3 linked regions of the Oryzias latipes genome follow. The protein of the gene in region 2 interacts with the protein of the main gene of each other region in a pairwise test. Links are inferred from orthologs where the notes say so. Each region holds a gene or a part of one and is shown on either strand. Other genes may lie near its edges.

Region 1 (5,413 bases), on a different chromosome or scaffold from region 2:
GCAGCCTCAGACAGGTGAGTCCCGCCTCACTTTTGCAGGATGAATTGGTTGATGAACTCGCTCTGCTCCGCCTCTACCCGGGAAAGGGCTTCGTACTCCACCCGGTACCTTAAAGAAAGTAGCAGCTGTTAGCAGGGAGCATGGACGCCACTCCTGCAGGATTTAGAGGGGTGGGGGGGGTGGGGTACCTCTCCAGCTGCATCTTCTTCTCAGCAATAAGACCCTTTAGCAGCTGCTGATGCTCCTCCCTCTGCTTCGCCACAGATGTCAGAAGGTTCCTGGCTCCAATGGCCTGCAGGAAGTGATATCAGCCAATGAGGAGCAGTTTTTGTTTGATCGGGTTACTGAATGTTTGACATAAACTAAAAACAGTAAATCAAACGCAGCTCCAGCAGCTTTTCCACCACAACATGTCTGTCAGGAGGAAACTGGGCAGCTTACCAGAAGGTGTTGGAGTTCCTCCAATGTAAATAATGTTAAATAAAAGTTTGGGTCTATTTTACTCATTCCAATTGAATTGTTAAAACTGGTCCAAAAAATCTACAAAAAACAGTTTTTCTTTAATGTGAAGTAAATAGTTTTTTCCTGCTAAAATTGGTTACTTTTATTATAGAATAATTCAACTGGTTAAATCTATTACTTATAGGATTAAGTACTGGGTAACTATAACTGCCAACACTGATGAACTGTAGGTTTTGACCTAACCTGAGAAGAGGGGAGCCTCACCTTCATCTTTTCAGTCTCCGCCTCCTTGGCCAACCCGTCCACTGTGCTGATGAGACCGCCCACAATCTTCTGGAATTGTCCGATCTCTGCAGAGACACAGACCTATAGGAGCTTTGGGTGGGACGGGGTGGACAACAGATCCGTGGATTCTTACTGTCCACAAACTCTCTGCACTCCTCCTTCAGCTCCGCCGTGCTCTGGCTCACATCTGGCTCTAGAACCCGCAGCTTGTTTACCTCGTCAAAGTGGAAGCCAGCTTCAGCCAACGGATCTTTAGCCATGGAGTCTCCTGTGGGTCAAATATTGTGTTATTTCCAAAACTCCTCAAACACTCAGCACCAGTTTAACCACCTGACAGACGCAGGAGTTTGATCCACAATGATAAACACTCTTTATAAAGTCTAAAAAGAAAAAAAACATCTTTTAAAATGAAAAAATTATTATAAAGAGTTGTTTCACATATGGATGAATGTATGTAGGCTAGATTTGACTTTATCCTTTTGGATGTAACGGACACTGAAGGACTTGGGACTGATGCTTACCGTTTCTTCCATTCACCATAATACTTTACTGACCGTACCAGAGTTACCAAACATGCTGATACAGTCCAGTGATGTCTAGCGTCAGCCACAAGTCCAGTTATGGACTGTTAACAACCAGCAGGAGTTTAGAAAGATACAATTACTGCCTTACAGGACAAAGATTGAGAAGTAATTTGAAAGCTTTGCATTTTGGCTTGTCTATTTCTTTAACACAACAGATAAATTCCGCAACTGCATTACTTTAGTCCAGTCCAGTAGGACAAAATAATATAATTTACCATAGTATTATGTACTTGGAAGCTTATGAACAGACCTTCAGTCAGTGTTAAAAGTTTTCAGAAACAAATGGAGGAATGAAGATGTCTGTCCAACATTCCGAAACCGCATAAACAGATGTTTATTTAAATTCAAAACTCTAAAATTGCGCTTAAAAGCTTTTACAAAAATAACGTTTTAGCAAATAAAAATAACACACAAATTACACCCATTCCAATTTGCTTCCACACGCCTCTTCACCTCTGAGCTATGTATTTAAAGTCCTCCACCTTCTTCTCCTCTGCTCCCTGTAACCTCACCGTTCCTCTTTAGTTCCTCTCATTTACACATTCAGTCTTTCTGGAGCTAACCTTCATTCCTCTCCTTTCCTGAACAAACCTTTACCTCTCTAAAGTGTTCCTCCTTCTGCTCCCTGCGCTCACTACAGATCCACAGGTCATCTGCAGACATCACGCTCCACAGAGATTCCTGTCAGTCCTTCTGTCAGTCTGTCTAGCACTACAGCAAACAAAAAGGATTAAAGCTGATCCTTGGTGCAGTCCAACCTCCATCCCCCCTGAACAGATGAGTTCAGGATGGATTAATCTGATTAATAATAATAATAACAATAATAATGAAGTGTTTGTGGCAGTTTGCGTAATTGTGTGGCTCTGTTATACCCTCTCTACATCCAAAAAGCGTCAGAAACAAAATATACATTGTTTAGTTTTTGAGCTGGGCTAGACTTTTAAACATTAAAATTAGTGAAATGCTGCCTCCAGCGGTCTTTCATAGCACTGCAGTGTTGGGTACTTCCTGGTTTCGGGGGGGGGGGGGGGGGGTAGTGTTACTGTACAAATTGTTTTCATCTTTATTGTGAATCTTAGTCCATTTAGCACCAATTCAATGAATGAAGATTATTTATTTTAATTTCTACATTTACACCTAAACAACCCCCCTTCATGTTTTTAACCACGTTAAATGATTATCGCGCCGTTCAAAGCTGTAATCCATGCCACAAGAATTGTTTTGGTGACTAATCTGCACACATTGTTTGTGTATTTTAGATAATAAAGTTTTCTTTAAAAAAAAATCTATGGGTGACGTCACAAGCATCGATTTTCTACACTACAGTAAGAAAATACGTCAAAAATAAATGAATAAATAAGCAACAAACTCAGACTAGATCTGAGTAAACAAGAACGTTGAGTTTTTCTGTCCCGGCGACCTCAAAAAATGCCTCTAAACTTGGAGCTCCACAGTCTCAGACTTTGGCAGAAGTGTTTGTACACGTTGTATGAACCTCTCAACCATCTTTTTTTCCCCTCTTCGATTTTTTGCGGCTAACAGCTAACGAGCTAATACGTAGGAGATGACAAATTAACAGCTGTTAGCCTCCGTTAACCATTCGTAAAGAATAGTAAACTAAACTTTGGTTGTGGAAACGGACACTCACCTTAATAAACCCCTGACGTTACTCTGCACGGCTCCGGTCCTCCTCATAAGGGGTCCTACTAAGACGTTCCGCCTCTTCCTCCTCCTGCTACCAAGGCAACCGCACAAAGCGCCACTACGCGTGCGCACTAGCTTACCGCCGACCTCTGGTGGTACACATTCTCGAGAAGTCTTTTTCACGTGTTTCTGATATTATCGTTCATTTAAAAACAAGAATCAATTTACAGTCAGTTTTAAAGCCACCATGTGCGCGTGCAATCATCAGGTTCATCCTCATAGTTAAACCAGGTTAGGCTAAACACCCCAGTAGGTAGACCCACCCAGCGGTAGAAGTTTAGACAAGTCTGGTTCCTTTCGCAAGTTCAAACGTCATGACTGGATGAAGAGATAAGCTCAAAGAACCAACTAGTTCTTTATGAATTGAGATGATAAGACATTTTTTAAAAGACATTTTCGTTCACTCATAAGAACACTTTAAAATGTACAGACATGGATGATGTGGCTTCACTGAAACTTCAAGTGGAAATGAGCAGCAGCTATCTAGACCAGCTGGAGGCGCCAGAGGGGAGCCCATCTGCCTGAGATACATTGTTACAGTGATCCAACGGGGATGTAATGAAAGCATGGAATACTGTTTTATGTTTTTTTTTGGAAAAAATGCACAACTGACATCTCTCTTTTCCCCTTCTTGACCAATTGCAAATTTGTCACATGCAAGATATGACACAAAATCAATACAAGTGTAACATACAAAGAGGATGCACACATGCTTTCATCAGTAGTACATACCTTAAAATCGTAGATTTTTATCAAGGTGTTTATGGGCTGTGTTAAATTTAAAACTAATACAAACACTAAAGAAAAAATATATCCCATTCAGAGTATGTTTTCCTGCATAAAAAACTTTCTTAAGCAGGAAAAAACTAGAAAATCAGATCAACAACTATCAGTATCATTTAAACGCTTTATTAAAGAACACTGTCCCAAAAGTCCCCTTTTTGCAGCATTACTCAGATATTACACCTTTCCGTCAAAACCTTTCATCCTGTATCTGTTCATCCCCTAGTTCTTCTCTGAGACTTCCACTGCAGGAGATAGAAAAAAAAATTATGCATTTGTTAATTAGGCCTTTCATGGAAAACATGGAGGAGTTTTATGGCTGGGGGGGGGGGGGGGGAATCGGAGAACTACTGAGTGCTGCTGGAGTTGTTAATAGCTACAAACATGCTCAGCTGAGGCGGATTGTGAAGCTGGCTCAGGTTCATGTCAATGTAGTTGGAGGCTTCTCAGATAGATCAGGAAGCTTTCATCCTGATATGTCTTGTAGCTGCTGCTCACTGTTAGATTTTTTGTTTTTATTGTTATTACTGCTCTGCACTGGATTATCTCATGGTGTGGATTGGTGGACGATTTACCTGGTTTGTTCTTACCTGGACTTTATTGGCACTGTTGCCTAAAAGCTGAAGTACCCAGCCTCTAAACTCCTCCAGGTACATAATCACCCACATGGACTTCCACTACCTTCACTAAACCTCCACCCAGATATAGCTCTCCGTCTCTGTATAGGAGGGATGGCTCAGTTGCCTGCATGCAGCACTGGCACCTGGGAAACCAGGGGGGGGGGGGGGGGGGGGGGGGGGGGGGGGGGGCGAAGAGCTTCATCCAGTCCTTGGATCCTTGGGAAAAACTCTTGGATGAGTGCTAGACCCTCTTTGCTACTTCCTATCTATGTATAGGCTTGTATCAATAAGGGCATCCGGTGTAAAAATCTCTGCCTAACCGCTTCCTTTGGAGATGCATTACTATGAGAAGTACAAAGGCCTGCTGGTCCCGGTACCTCTGTTTTCCACATTTGAACTATGAATGTATAAATATACCTTCACACCACCCTCAGCAACGTACCTTCAAGCACTTTCAATGAAAAGTCCAGACGCGTCTGTAGACTTGTTTACATATATGTACTGCATATGGAATGTGCATTTCAGGCTTCCTTGGTCAAAACTCTCGCGTTCACACGTAGCTACGCACATTTTAAGACCATTTTTGGGCTCTACGTACAAAACATGTGGCCATTGGACTTGCGTTGAAAGTTAAACCAGTTGAACTTTGACCACTCAGGGATCTACTTTTGGTAGTGATGTATAGATGGCATCCTTTCCAATTTACAGAAGTTCCTACAGTTTAAAAATTGATCACGGAAGAGAGATTAATAATTGTGCTGGAATTATGTGACAGCAAGTCTTTCATATATCATTCAGTTTTTGTGTCTTATTTACTTAAAGAATAAAGGTTTAAGTGTCTCTGTCCAACCAATATTTGGACGCCACCTGAGGTCAGATCTGCACCTCACAAGCCTGACTATAGCACCCCACCGTGTCAACAAGACATCAGTCACACCACTTAAAATGAGTAACAGGAGTTATCACATCACACCA
Region 2 (4,725 bases):
TCCTCGTCTGACTGCACATGCTGGACTCAGAATAAAGGATTTTTATGATTTTTAGTGTTAATGTCAGCTCTGAAACCCTGCCAGAGCTTCTTTTTTTGACTACAGGCATGTATGCAACAATGCATTCATTTCCATGCAGATGTTCCAGAAACGAACGGATCCCAAAGCAGAAACCATGAAGCTGCTGATCCTATTATTGGAGAAAAATGTAAAAGGTTTGCCTGTTTGAGAGTTTGTTTTCATAAAAGTTCTGATGTGTCTGCAGAAAAATTCTAGTTTATTTCTCAGCTTGTGAACACATGGTCTTTGTGTGACGCACGCAGTTTTGAGCCTCAGGACTTCCTGCTTCAGGCAGACGTGTCAAAAAGCTTCTCGATCATCTCCTCCACCTCTTCTGGCCGGTACTTGTGGTACTTCTCAGGGTTCTTGGTGAAGGAAATGTTGGTACATCTGGAAAACAGTTGATAGATAGCGGCTGTGGCTCACACACACTATTTTAGGCTTATCCAACTTCTTTCCTTGACAGATTTAAATCAAATATGATGGAGCAGAAAAACAGTGTTGCGCTACGTTCCCACCCGGCTCGGAAACGCCCTTTCAAGGGACCGCGTCCGATAGAAAGTCCACATTTCGGCTTCTACATTCAAAATTCTTTCGAGTTTTTACGCCTGTTTTCAGGCTTTCTGTACCTAATGCGCGTCCGTTGAACGTGCGCTCAAAGGTGAACTAGTTGACCAATCAGGGACTCTGTCTGGGAGCGACGTATGGATGTCGTCCTTGTCAAAACACAGAAGTGAGAACCGTTTGAAAATTGACCATGAAGGAGAAATGAATCAACTATGACACCAAAGTTCCCACCCTGACCCATAAATACTAAAAAACTAGATAGTGGCACTATCTATTGTCCTGGATTTTAAAAGCAATTCAGACGCCACGCTCACGACTTTTATTCTTTTTCACGGCGAATATGAAATCATCGATTTCACAAAGTTAAAATCTAATTAAAATGAGCGTTTTGGGACGATTATTTATGAGTCCACTGTCTTCTGAAGATAAAAACGTTGATGGTTTATCAAAAAAATACATTTAAATACATTTTTTGGCAAAAATTTTTATGTTGCAATGCATTGTGGTCTATATTCGCAGATCTAGTGAGCATAGATGCGAACTGGTTTTTCGCATTCAGACACAACCTCTTCCGGCTGTACGTTCATGCGTTCGTATCGGGTAGCAACAGACCGGTGTGAACACCGTCTGCTAAAAACGCTTTCAGGGCCTTGTAGAACACAAGGCACCCGGCTTGTGTGGTGCGTTCAAGGGGACGCGGAACGCACCAGTGTGTACGTAGTGCAACACCGCCACAGATGAGACTGCTGCTGGGATGTGTCCCTCACCTCTGCAGGAAGACTCTGTAAGCATCCGACACCGCTGTCTTCTGAGCTTGCCGGATGAAGTCTCGCTGATCTTTGTCTGGGATGGCCCAACCCTTCTGGATCTTACACAGCTCCTCCAAACCATCGTTGAAGCCCTAAGAGACTCTCTGGTCAGAGCTGCAGCTCAGAGCTGTTTTTGCTCTGCCATACTTTAAACTCCTTACCTTGAACTTCTCTTTAATCACTTGCCGCTCTTTATCTTTCAGCTGAAGGAGGAGAAAGCGTTTAAAGGGTTACAGAGTGTACATGATGGCTGTTCACATGAAACCACGATTGTATACCAGCATCGGGTCTGGACTGGTTTCAAATTAAACGTTTGAGAGTGTACCAAAGCAACTGCTTGTATAAAAAGACCTAAAAACAGGTTTTCAGCAGGGCCTGCTATACTTAATTAGCCCAGTTCAACGGAAGCAAATCCAGTCCTGACGTGCTAACGTGCTAACCGAGCCTCATGGTGACAGTTTATTGCTTTGCTTTCAATTTATGAAAACCTTGAAGGTAGTTTCTTCAGTTTTAGTTGGGAATTAGGGACACCCATGGGTGGAGTTGACTAAATCCTTAAGTTACTTTGTCCCATTTTTGGAATGTTGTTGAGGTACGATGCAGCTGTCCCAAATCACTGCCGAAATCCAAGAAAAACATTAAAAAACAATGTTTGTTAAAACTCCTTATTTAGAGCATAAACCTGAAGGCAGAGATGCTTCTTTAACTGGTAAAAGATCTGCAGACTATAACAGTTCAGAGAAAGAACCAAAAGAACTTTGAAAAACATGGAACTGTGACCAAAAAAACGTTCCATGGCAGTAAAACCCTAGACGCTGATTTACTTTAAGAGGAGAAGCTAATAATGAATGTAAATGATCTCCCCCACCAGAACTCCGCTGCAGGACTTTGCATCCCCTCCAGCCTGATAATGAAGTATCACAGAAGTCTAATCTTGAAGTCATTTGAGAGCTGATTTCTGTCCCGCTGAGACGGGACTTTCCAGATTTTAGGGGGATTAAAAAGGATTTATGTGGGAGTTCATGACTCCACACTGGGACTAGAGACCAGATAAAGCCATCCAGTGCTGTTGCTTTGTGACTTCCCACCCCCACAAAAGAGAAGCGCTAACCCTTTACAACGACCTGAAGCTAACTGCCCCAGTGCTGCCGTCGCTAGCGGTTTCTGACCTTCATGCCGGGCTGGAGGACGGGCATGTTGCGGTCCGTCAGGTGCTCTGTGACCTTCAGCCAGCTGTGGCAGACAGACGTGTTGGTTAAGTCAGCAGAAGGCAGGACACTGAAATCTTGACAACAGCTGAGTTTTGAGTTTACCTGCGCTGGTAGAACTCGATCTGCTGTTGTATCAGCTCTTTGTAGGAGGCCTCGGCTCTCTTCTGAGTCACGGTGACCAGCTGGATCAACTCAGACCTGCAGTTTGGTGACAGATGAGGAATAATCAAACCCAGCCTTCCAGCTGAAGCACAGAACCACCAGCTTCCAGCTACTGCAGGGGCTGTGGCTGTTTTTACAGATCCCAGCGGACCCACAGCAGCAGATTTTCAGCTCTCCTAGTCAGCTGCAGTGTCCCCAGCCTGAGGGTCTGACTTTGTGAGAAACAGGTTTCTTCAGCTCCAGGACAGTGTTTGGTTGTGCACTGAACTCCATTTTCCCAGAACGGAAGTGGTAAAAAAGAAAATAATCGTGTTTCAAGCTATTTAAAAAAAAAAAAAAAGAAAATGTAAATTTAGCCAGCTTTCCACATAGTAACATATAAATCTAACACTTTTCATCTAACACTAGTAAGAATTTACGTTATCTCGTCAAAAATTACGTTATCTCGTAAGAAATTACGTTATCTAGTAAGAAATCACTATCTCATAAGAAACAACTTTATCTCGTAATAATTTACGTTATCTAATGAGAAATTACGTTATCTAATTGAGAAACTACGTTATCTAGTAATAATCACGTTATCTAGTAAGAAAACACGTTATCTAATAAGAAATTACGTTATTTGGTAAGAAATTACATTATATGGTAAGGAAATACGTAATTTGGTAAGAAATCACGCTATCTAGTAAGAAATCACGTTTTCTAGTGAGAAATTAAGTTATCTAATAAGAAATCACATTATCTAGTAAGAAATCACTTTATCTCATAAGAAACAACTTTATCTCGTATTAATTTACGTTATCTAATTGAAAAATTACGTTATCTAGTAATAATCACGTTATCTAGTAAGAAAACAAGTTATCTAATAAGAAATTACGTTATTTTGTAAGAAATTACATTATCTAGAAAGAAATCACGCTAATTGGTAAGAAATCATGTTATCTAATAAGAAATTACGTTATTTTGTAAGAAATTACATTATCTAGAAAGAAATCACGCTAATTGGTAAGAAATCATGTTATCTAATAAGAAATTACGTTATTTTGTAAGAAATTTCATTTTATAGTAAGAAATCACGTTATCTCGTAAGAAATTACGTTATCTAATAAGAAATCACGCTTTCTAGTAAGAAATCATGCTATCTAATAAGAAATTACGTTATCTAATAAGAAATCACGTTATCTAATAAGAAATCACGTTATCTAACGAAAAATTACACTATCTAGTAATAATCACGTAATCTAGTAAGAAATTACGTCATTTTGTAAAAAATTACATTATGTAGTAAGAAATCACGTTATCTGGTAAGAATTAAGTTATCTAATAAGAAATCCCGTTATCTAGTAAGAAATCACGTCATCTCATAAGAAATCACGCTAGCTTGTAAGAAATCAGGTTATCTAATAAGAAATTACGTTATTTTGTAAGAAATTACGTTATCTAGTAAGAAATCCCGCTAATTGGTAAGAAATCACGTTATCTCGTAAGAAATTACGTTATCTCGTAAGAAATTACGTTATCTAATCAGAAATCACGCTTTCTAGTAAGAAATCATGCTATCTAATAAGAAATTACGTTATCTAACGAGAAATTACACTATCTAGTAATAATCACGTTATCTAGTAAGAAATTACGTTATTTGGTAAAAAATTACATTATCTAGTAAGAAATCACGTTATCTGGTAAGAATTAAGTTATCTAATAAGAAATCCTGTTATCTAGCAAGAAATCACGTCATCTCATAAGAAATCAAGCTAGCTTGTAAGAAATCACGTTATCTAATAGGAAATTGCGTCATCTAGTACAAATATCACGCACCATTCAAGAAGCGTGGAGGTGTTGAAACTGAATTATTTTTTTCCTCATTTCTGTAGTATTCTACTTCTGTTGTGTTCCGTTTCATGCTGTTGTGTTGT
Region 3 (5,364 bases), on a different chromosome or scaffold from region 2:
TCAAAAGTAGCTTGCCTGCCAAAAAGAAAATGTGGGCACCCCCATAAAAAAAAAAAAAAAAAAGAATACCAGTACTTTGTAGATCTCACATATTGTGGGTTATTTTTTAAAATGCAACTCCTGTTATAAACAAAGCACTGATGCTCCACTTGCACCTTTCAGCTTTTGAATTCAAGTCTCTCCTGGGTGCTGTGCTGAAAAAAGGCTTCAGTCAGGGAGAAGCAGCAGCACAAGAGTGAAACTCACAACGCTGCACCTTAAACAGCCAGTTTTCATAAAGTCAAAACAAAAGCACACAAAATCACCTAAAACTAAATCAACATTAAAATAATGACACTTTACCTGTGAGCACTTTGTTGGTGTCAGAGGGACACACATCCAGAGCCAGAATACCAGGCACACTGGCACTATGCAGACCCTACAGGAAATATCAAAGTCACACCACAAATATGAAGCAATCCAAACAAAAAGTTACATCCTCTGGATTCTCCAGAATCTCTTCTTACAGCGTGGGAAGCAACTTGGCGGTACTTGCTGAGATCTTCAGCTCTGACCAAATCCTCTGGAACAGTTTTTCCTCTCTGTAGATAAAAAAAAAACACAGGGTGAACTGGGCGCTACCAAGACAGATAAAGACTCCACAAACTGTTAGGTTGTAGTCAATACTGCACCTTCTTTCTCTCTGTGGTGAGGATGGTCGCCTTGTCTTGAAGCTGCAAACACACAACAACAGTCAAATAGACCAAAGGAACAAAATCTTTCTACAAACAAACTTTACAAAGTAGAATGGTTTTTAAAACTAAAGAAAGCCGTACCTTCTGAATGATCTCTGGGGTCATTCCCACCTGTTCACTGATCTCCATGGGTTCTCCACCAGCACCCTGAAACACAATATTGACAGTTATTAGACAGATGAGTTATGAAAGTCAATACAAAGCCTTTTTTTTAAAGGAAAATAATTCAATAAATAAATCAAATTTTACTGCAGCAGCTGGCTGAGAGGCAGGGACTGCTTGAGGGGCCACCAGTCCAGCTTGGGGTTTAAGTGTAGCAAGAGCTGGAAAAAAAGACAAACAAATGAGCCAATTAGACAACCCCAATTATGAATAAACAAAACACACTCTTCATTCAAAATCACTTTGTAAGATAGCATTTGACGCAAACTTCACTGACCTTCTCTTGCAGCAGTGACCTCTTTGTTGAGGCGGGCGATGACTCTGCAGGCGGCATCGTGCTGGTAAAGGGCATGAGAGAGTTCTTGGCGAGTCGTCTGCAGCTGCTGCCTCAAGGTGAAACTATGAAGCATCACAGCATCCTAATTCACAAAAGAAAATGGGTCAGGTTACTTTTACCAGAGAATCTCTCAAAATCCACTTCGGGTCGTTTTGAAAAGCGGATTCCAGAAGGAACCCATCACATCAAACGCAGATCATGACGTTTTGTTTGACCAAAACACATTCTTCATTAAATAATGACAATTCCACTGACAAGATATGATCCCATTCTGCCACAATTGTAAAAATGAACTGTTATTCATATTTTAATGACTAAAAACATTGTATACGTTGATGCTACTTACCCACTCGTCTTGAAGTGACTTGAGAATGGCAGGAATGCTAGTAGCAGATGGAGCCTTTGGTCGAATAGGATGAGTAACTACAAAGAAATTAAAGCAGACATTTTCTAAAGCCGTATAGAATCACTGTATCCACATTAGGTTTTCTTATCATGCAAAATCAACTTTTTGAGCTTTAAGTGAATCATAATGTTAAGCCCTCAAGAAAAACGACCCCAAAGCCATATTTTGATCCATTGACGAAGCTCTGAGCATTCCTCTAAACCCAGACCCCCCAAACCACCTTTTATATGCACAATACATCCATCTTTACAAGTTTGGATTTTGTTTGTTTTTGTGGGCGAAACGCAGACACACTGGCGAGGCCAGCTCTAAGTTAACAAAATGAAATGGGCGGCAACCACAAGGAAGGAGCGAAAGCCAGTGCCTCAGAGATCGAAAGTCTTACCTCCAGGTAGGAAAAGGAGCTGAAATAACTAATATTTCATAAATAATTTGTTCTTTAGTGTTCCAAAGGTAATATATGTCATTTATATGGATATAGTTTACTCTGAAATGCTTAAGAAAAGCATGATTATAGGCCCACTAATTAAGTGTTGCAAATATACTACAACAATATTTTTAGGTTAGGCGTGTGTGTCAGTGTATTAGTTTTTGTTTTTTTACTATAGATATTTAATAAATATGTTATTATGACCTTCTCTATTTTTTAAAAACAACAAAAAAGTACTTTTCCCCCCCACACCATTTGTTACTGCTGTTTTTTGATCAACTTTCTGGCATTTTTTTTTAAATACTTTGTGAAAAATTGTTTTTCCAATAGTTTTGGTTTCATAAATTCGTTGTTTCTTTGCTTAATTTTCTTATATATTTATTTAAATTTTGTAAATTGACGTGCTTTAGAGATGCAATATGTTATGAATGATATTTGCTTTTTAAGACGAAGGTCTTGAACCTGCGCCATTATAGGCTGATGTGTCGTTTACCTTTGATATCCACAAGCTGCTCCTCGGACAGGGGCTGTCCGTTCATCGGGTCCGTCCCATTCTCAGCGATGTACTTCTCTATCAGTCTGCGCTCGAACACATGGTTGGACACCGGAGAGATGCACGGGTGCTCTGGAACCTCGTTGCAGACTGAAATAAAGGTGTGGCAACCGCTTGAAAGACTATTCTAAATCAGTAAATTCTTTTTTAAAAAGTAAATAAAAGCAACAAACATAAAATGAACGGAAGCAATTCCATATAAAAGGCGGCATTGATGGCCGCTAACTGCTACATTAGCTAGTTACTAGTAGCATTTGCGTGGCGCCTCGCTAAACACACACATTTCAAAGGTTTTCACTTAGCTTACTTGCACAAACCAGAGACATGTTCCCAACGCTGTGTAAATAGTCTCCTCTGGAAAGTAATATATGCTTACTCCAACCTTGTGTTTCGCTAGTGTGCACCGATAATGACTGAATTGAAACTAAGAAAAGCTATGCCCTTTCATAGCCTCAATAAAATGAGCCAGCTTCTTCTTCTTCGTGAAATGTCTGCTAAACGCAATTCGAACGTTGTCTCCACACTGCCCCCTAGTGCTTAAAATGAACAATGCGTTGGATTACTGTGTCTAGCAGGAAACTAGTAATCTGAAACTAAAAATTGGATTACGTGTGTTTAGATAAAACGGATTTATTGTTTACCACGTGTTTATTTTAAATTTTTGTTATAGAAATATTTTATGTTTTGTTCATGAAGTTCAAAGGTTAGCAGACCAAATGGAAAAGCACATTTCACAGCACTTTACAGTTGCATTGAGTTGAAAGGAATGACACCTGCAACAAATACTACACTGTTACAGATAAGATCATAACTAATTCAATAATTGTTGTTTGGGTTATAAATGTATTAACACTGTGGAAGAATGTTTAAGTGAGTATGAAATATATATATTTAGTGTCAATACTCTATGCAGCTCTAGAAATAATACAACACTTGCAAACAGGGTGACACTCAGTAAACACAGTGCAGATAACAGTGGCCCTGAGGGTCTGGAGGTAGGTAACAGCAAGAGATCTTAAGAGTACAATCCACCACTGCAACATGAGACAGAAAATGCAATGCTAAATTCATGCATCCAAAGATTATGTTTACCAAAATATTTTGAACTGTAACTTGCATTGAGTAATGTCCTTCACTGTTATTTGTTCATTCTATAATGTCCTTCTTTTCTCATTTTGGCACCTGTTTTATAAAAAGTCCAGTTTCTCTGACGTGTAAACGCTGCAGGATTCAGAGGTGTCTGTGTCCAGTGGCAATGTTGAAAAGAACTCTGAGCTCCACCTTTTTTCATCTCCATCCTTCTTAATCTGGTACTGAGCGCAGTCCTCAGAGGAGTGGAGGCAGTCTGTTGCTCCAGGCACAGGAAAGGAAATCTTCTCTTCATTCTCATTCACTTTGTTCTCCTAGAGGGAATTCAGGGGGTGGGGGGTGGGGGGGGGGGGCACATGGGTAGTTTTTATTTCTTTTGATTTTATGTCAACATGAGCCAAAAAAGGCTGACAGAGTTTTACCTCAGTGCTTCTGTCATGCCTGGGCGAGACCCCAGCTGTCCGTTGCTGTACTTGCTGGTTTTCAGAACTTGGTTCCCCTATCGTGACAGGAGTGTAATCCTAGAAATGAAACCCACATGTTCAAACACTCAGTTCTATTCAGCTGTTTAGGCTTCTGTGATTCCGTTCATTGGTCTTACAGTGTGAGCAGGGCTCGCTCTTGGGCTCCACTTTCTTGGTGTTCCAGGATGCTCAGGGTAACTGTAATAAGCTGCAGGGTGTGGATGGGTGTGACTGTAGTCCTGCAGTGACAAACAATAATTCAGCACAAAGTTACACTAGATAGGACTCTTAAAATTTTTCCTTCCCATACATACAGGTGCAAAACTTTGCATTTCAAAGGTTGGAGACACAACAGACACATATTTTAACCTCCACCACTACTGGTAAAGGTTGCACAACTATTTCGGAGCTTCTAAATGTTTAAAATTAACACTTTATTTATCCCACCATGGGGAAGTTTTTCTCTGCATTTTGACCCATCCCATGGGGGGAGCGGTGAGCTGCAGACTAGCCACGCTCGGGGGGCAACAGCTGGGATTGATCCACCAACCCTGCGGTTAATGGACGACCTGCTCTACTGCCTGAGCTAAACTGCCGCCCAAAAGTCTTGATAATTAAATTCTTGATACATGTTCCATGTCATCTTATTCAGCTGGAAAATAATTATAATACAGGTTGGAGAATGTTTCAATCAAATTGAACGTTTAGGACATCTCGTCATTGTTGAATTTTAAATGGAGGAAAGAAACAAAAGAAGCAAGTTAATTTGTTTTGAAAAATCAACATTTGTGTGTGCGTGGGGGGGGGGGGTGCATTTCAAAATGATAAAAAGATCCAAGATTTATTTTTGCTGCTTGGTTTCATGAATGATTGTTTCAGGTTCTAAAGATACATTTCTGGAAGTGAAAGAAGACGTTCTACAACAGAACAGCTAACCTCGACACTGACGCTGCTCATTCAAAAAGAGGAAAGAAGTGGTTCATAAGAGGAAGGTATTTTTGCGATAAAAGACATTTTGAAAACTTCTGATCCTAGCGGCGTGACCGCTCTCCACTGAATAAGATCCTTTTTGCTTTAGTTAAATGCTTAACCTTACTATTTTCTGATGACTATACATAATCCATTCCCACGTGGACAGTGTAAAATGACATACTGGGAGAAAAGGCAATAGCTAATTCATTGTACATTA

Evidence for each region. The genes of interacting proteins can lie anywhere in the genome.
Region 1: the proteins of exoc7 (region 2) and ift20 interact in binary tests that used the Homo sapiens proteins (3 or more experiments, as listed by UniProt). The two-hybrid records come from large-scale screens. The link is inferred for Oryzias latipes from reciprocal best matches to the Homo sapiens genes EXOC7 and IFT20.
Region 3: the proteins of exoc7 (region 2) and prpf19 interact in a two-hybrid assay, tested with the Homo sapiens proteins (2 studies listed by BioGRID and IntAct, with this or other methods). The link is inferred for Oryzias latipes from reciprocal best matches to the Homo sapiens genes EXOC7 and PRPF19.

The regions. Positions count from the first base shown.
Region 1 is NC_019871.2:17,866,227-17,871,639, reverse strand, and holds the start of ift20 (intraflagellar transport protein 20 homolog), read right to left. Parts: upstream 3,113-5,413; 5' UTR 2,980-3,112; intron 2,043-2,979; exon of another isoform or gene 1,929-2,042; intron 1,016-1,928; 5' UTR 1,008-1,015; coding exon 881-1,007; intron 813-880; coding exon 727-812; intron 293-726; coding exon 189-292; intron 109-188; coding exon 27-108; 3' UTR 1-26. UniProt on the Homo sapiens protein: Part of intraflagellar transport (IFT) particles involved in ciliary process assembly. May play a role in the trafficking of ciliary membrane proteins from the Golgi complex to the cilium.
Region 2 is NC_019877.2:22,395,382-22,400,106, forward strand, and holds part of exoc7 (exocyst complex component 7), read right to left. Parts: intron 2,846-4,725; coding exon 2,750-2,845; intron 2,670-2,749; coding exon 2,606-2,669; intron 1,640-2,605; coding exon 1,598-1,639; intron 1,529-1,597; coding exon 1,395-1,528; intron 451-1,394; coding exon 348-450; 3' UTR 1-347. UniProt on the Homo sapiens protein: Component of the exocyst complex involved in the docking of exocytic vesicles with fusion sites on the plasma membrane.
Region 3 is NC_019868.2:15,898,254-15,903,617, forward strand, and holds the start of prpf19 (pre-mRNA-processing factor 19), read right to left. Parts: upstream 3,113-5,364; 5' UTR 2,949-3,112; coding exon 2,930-2,948; intron 2,713-2,929; coding exon 2,563-2,712; intron 1,657-2,562; coding exon 1,580-1,656; intron 1,316-1,579; coding exon 1,174-1,315; intron 1,058-1,173; coding exon 984-1,057; intron 882-983; coding exon 816-881; intron 714-815; coding exon 672-713; intron 582-671; coding exon 507-581; intron 419-506; coding exon 343-418; intron 1-342. Other genes in the region: uncharacterized protein LOC101174031, read right to left, coding at 3,810-4,025, 4,134-4,232, 4,313-4,414. UniProt on the Homo sapiens protein: Ubiquitin-protein ligase which is a core component of several complexes mainly involved pre-mRNA splicing and DNA repair. Required for pre-mRNA splicing as component of the spliceosome.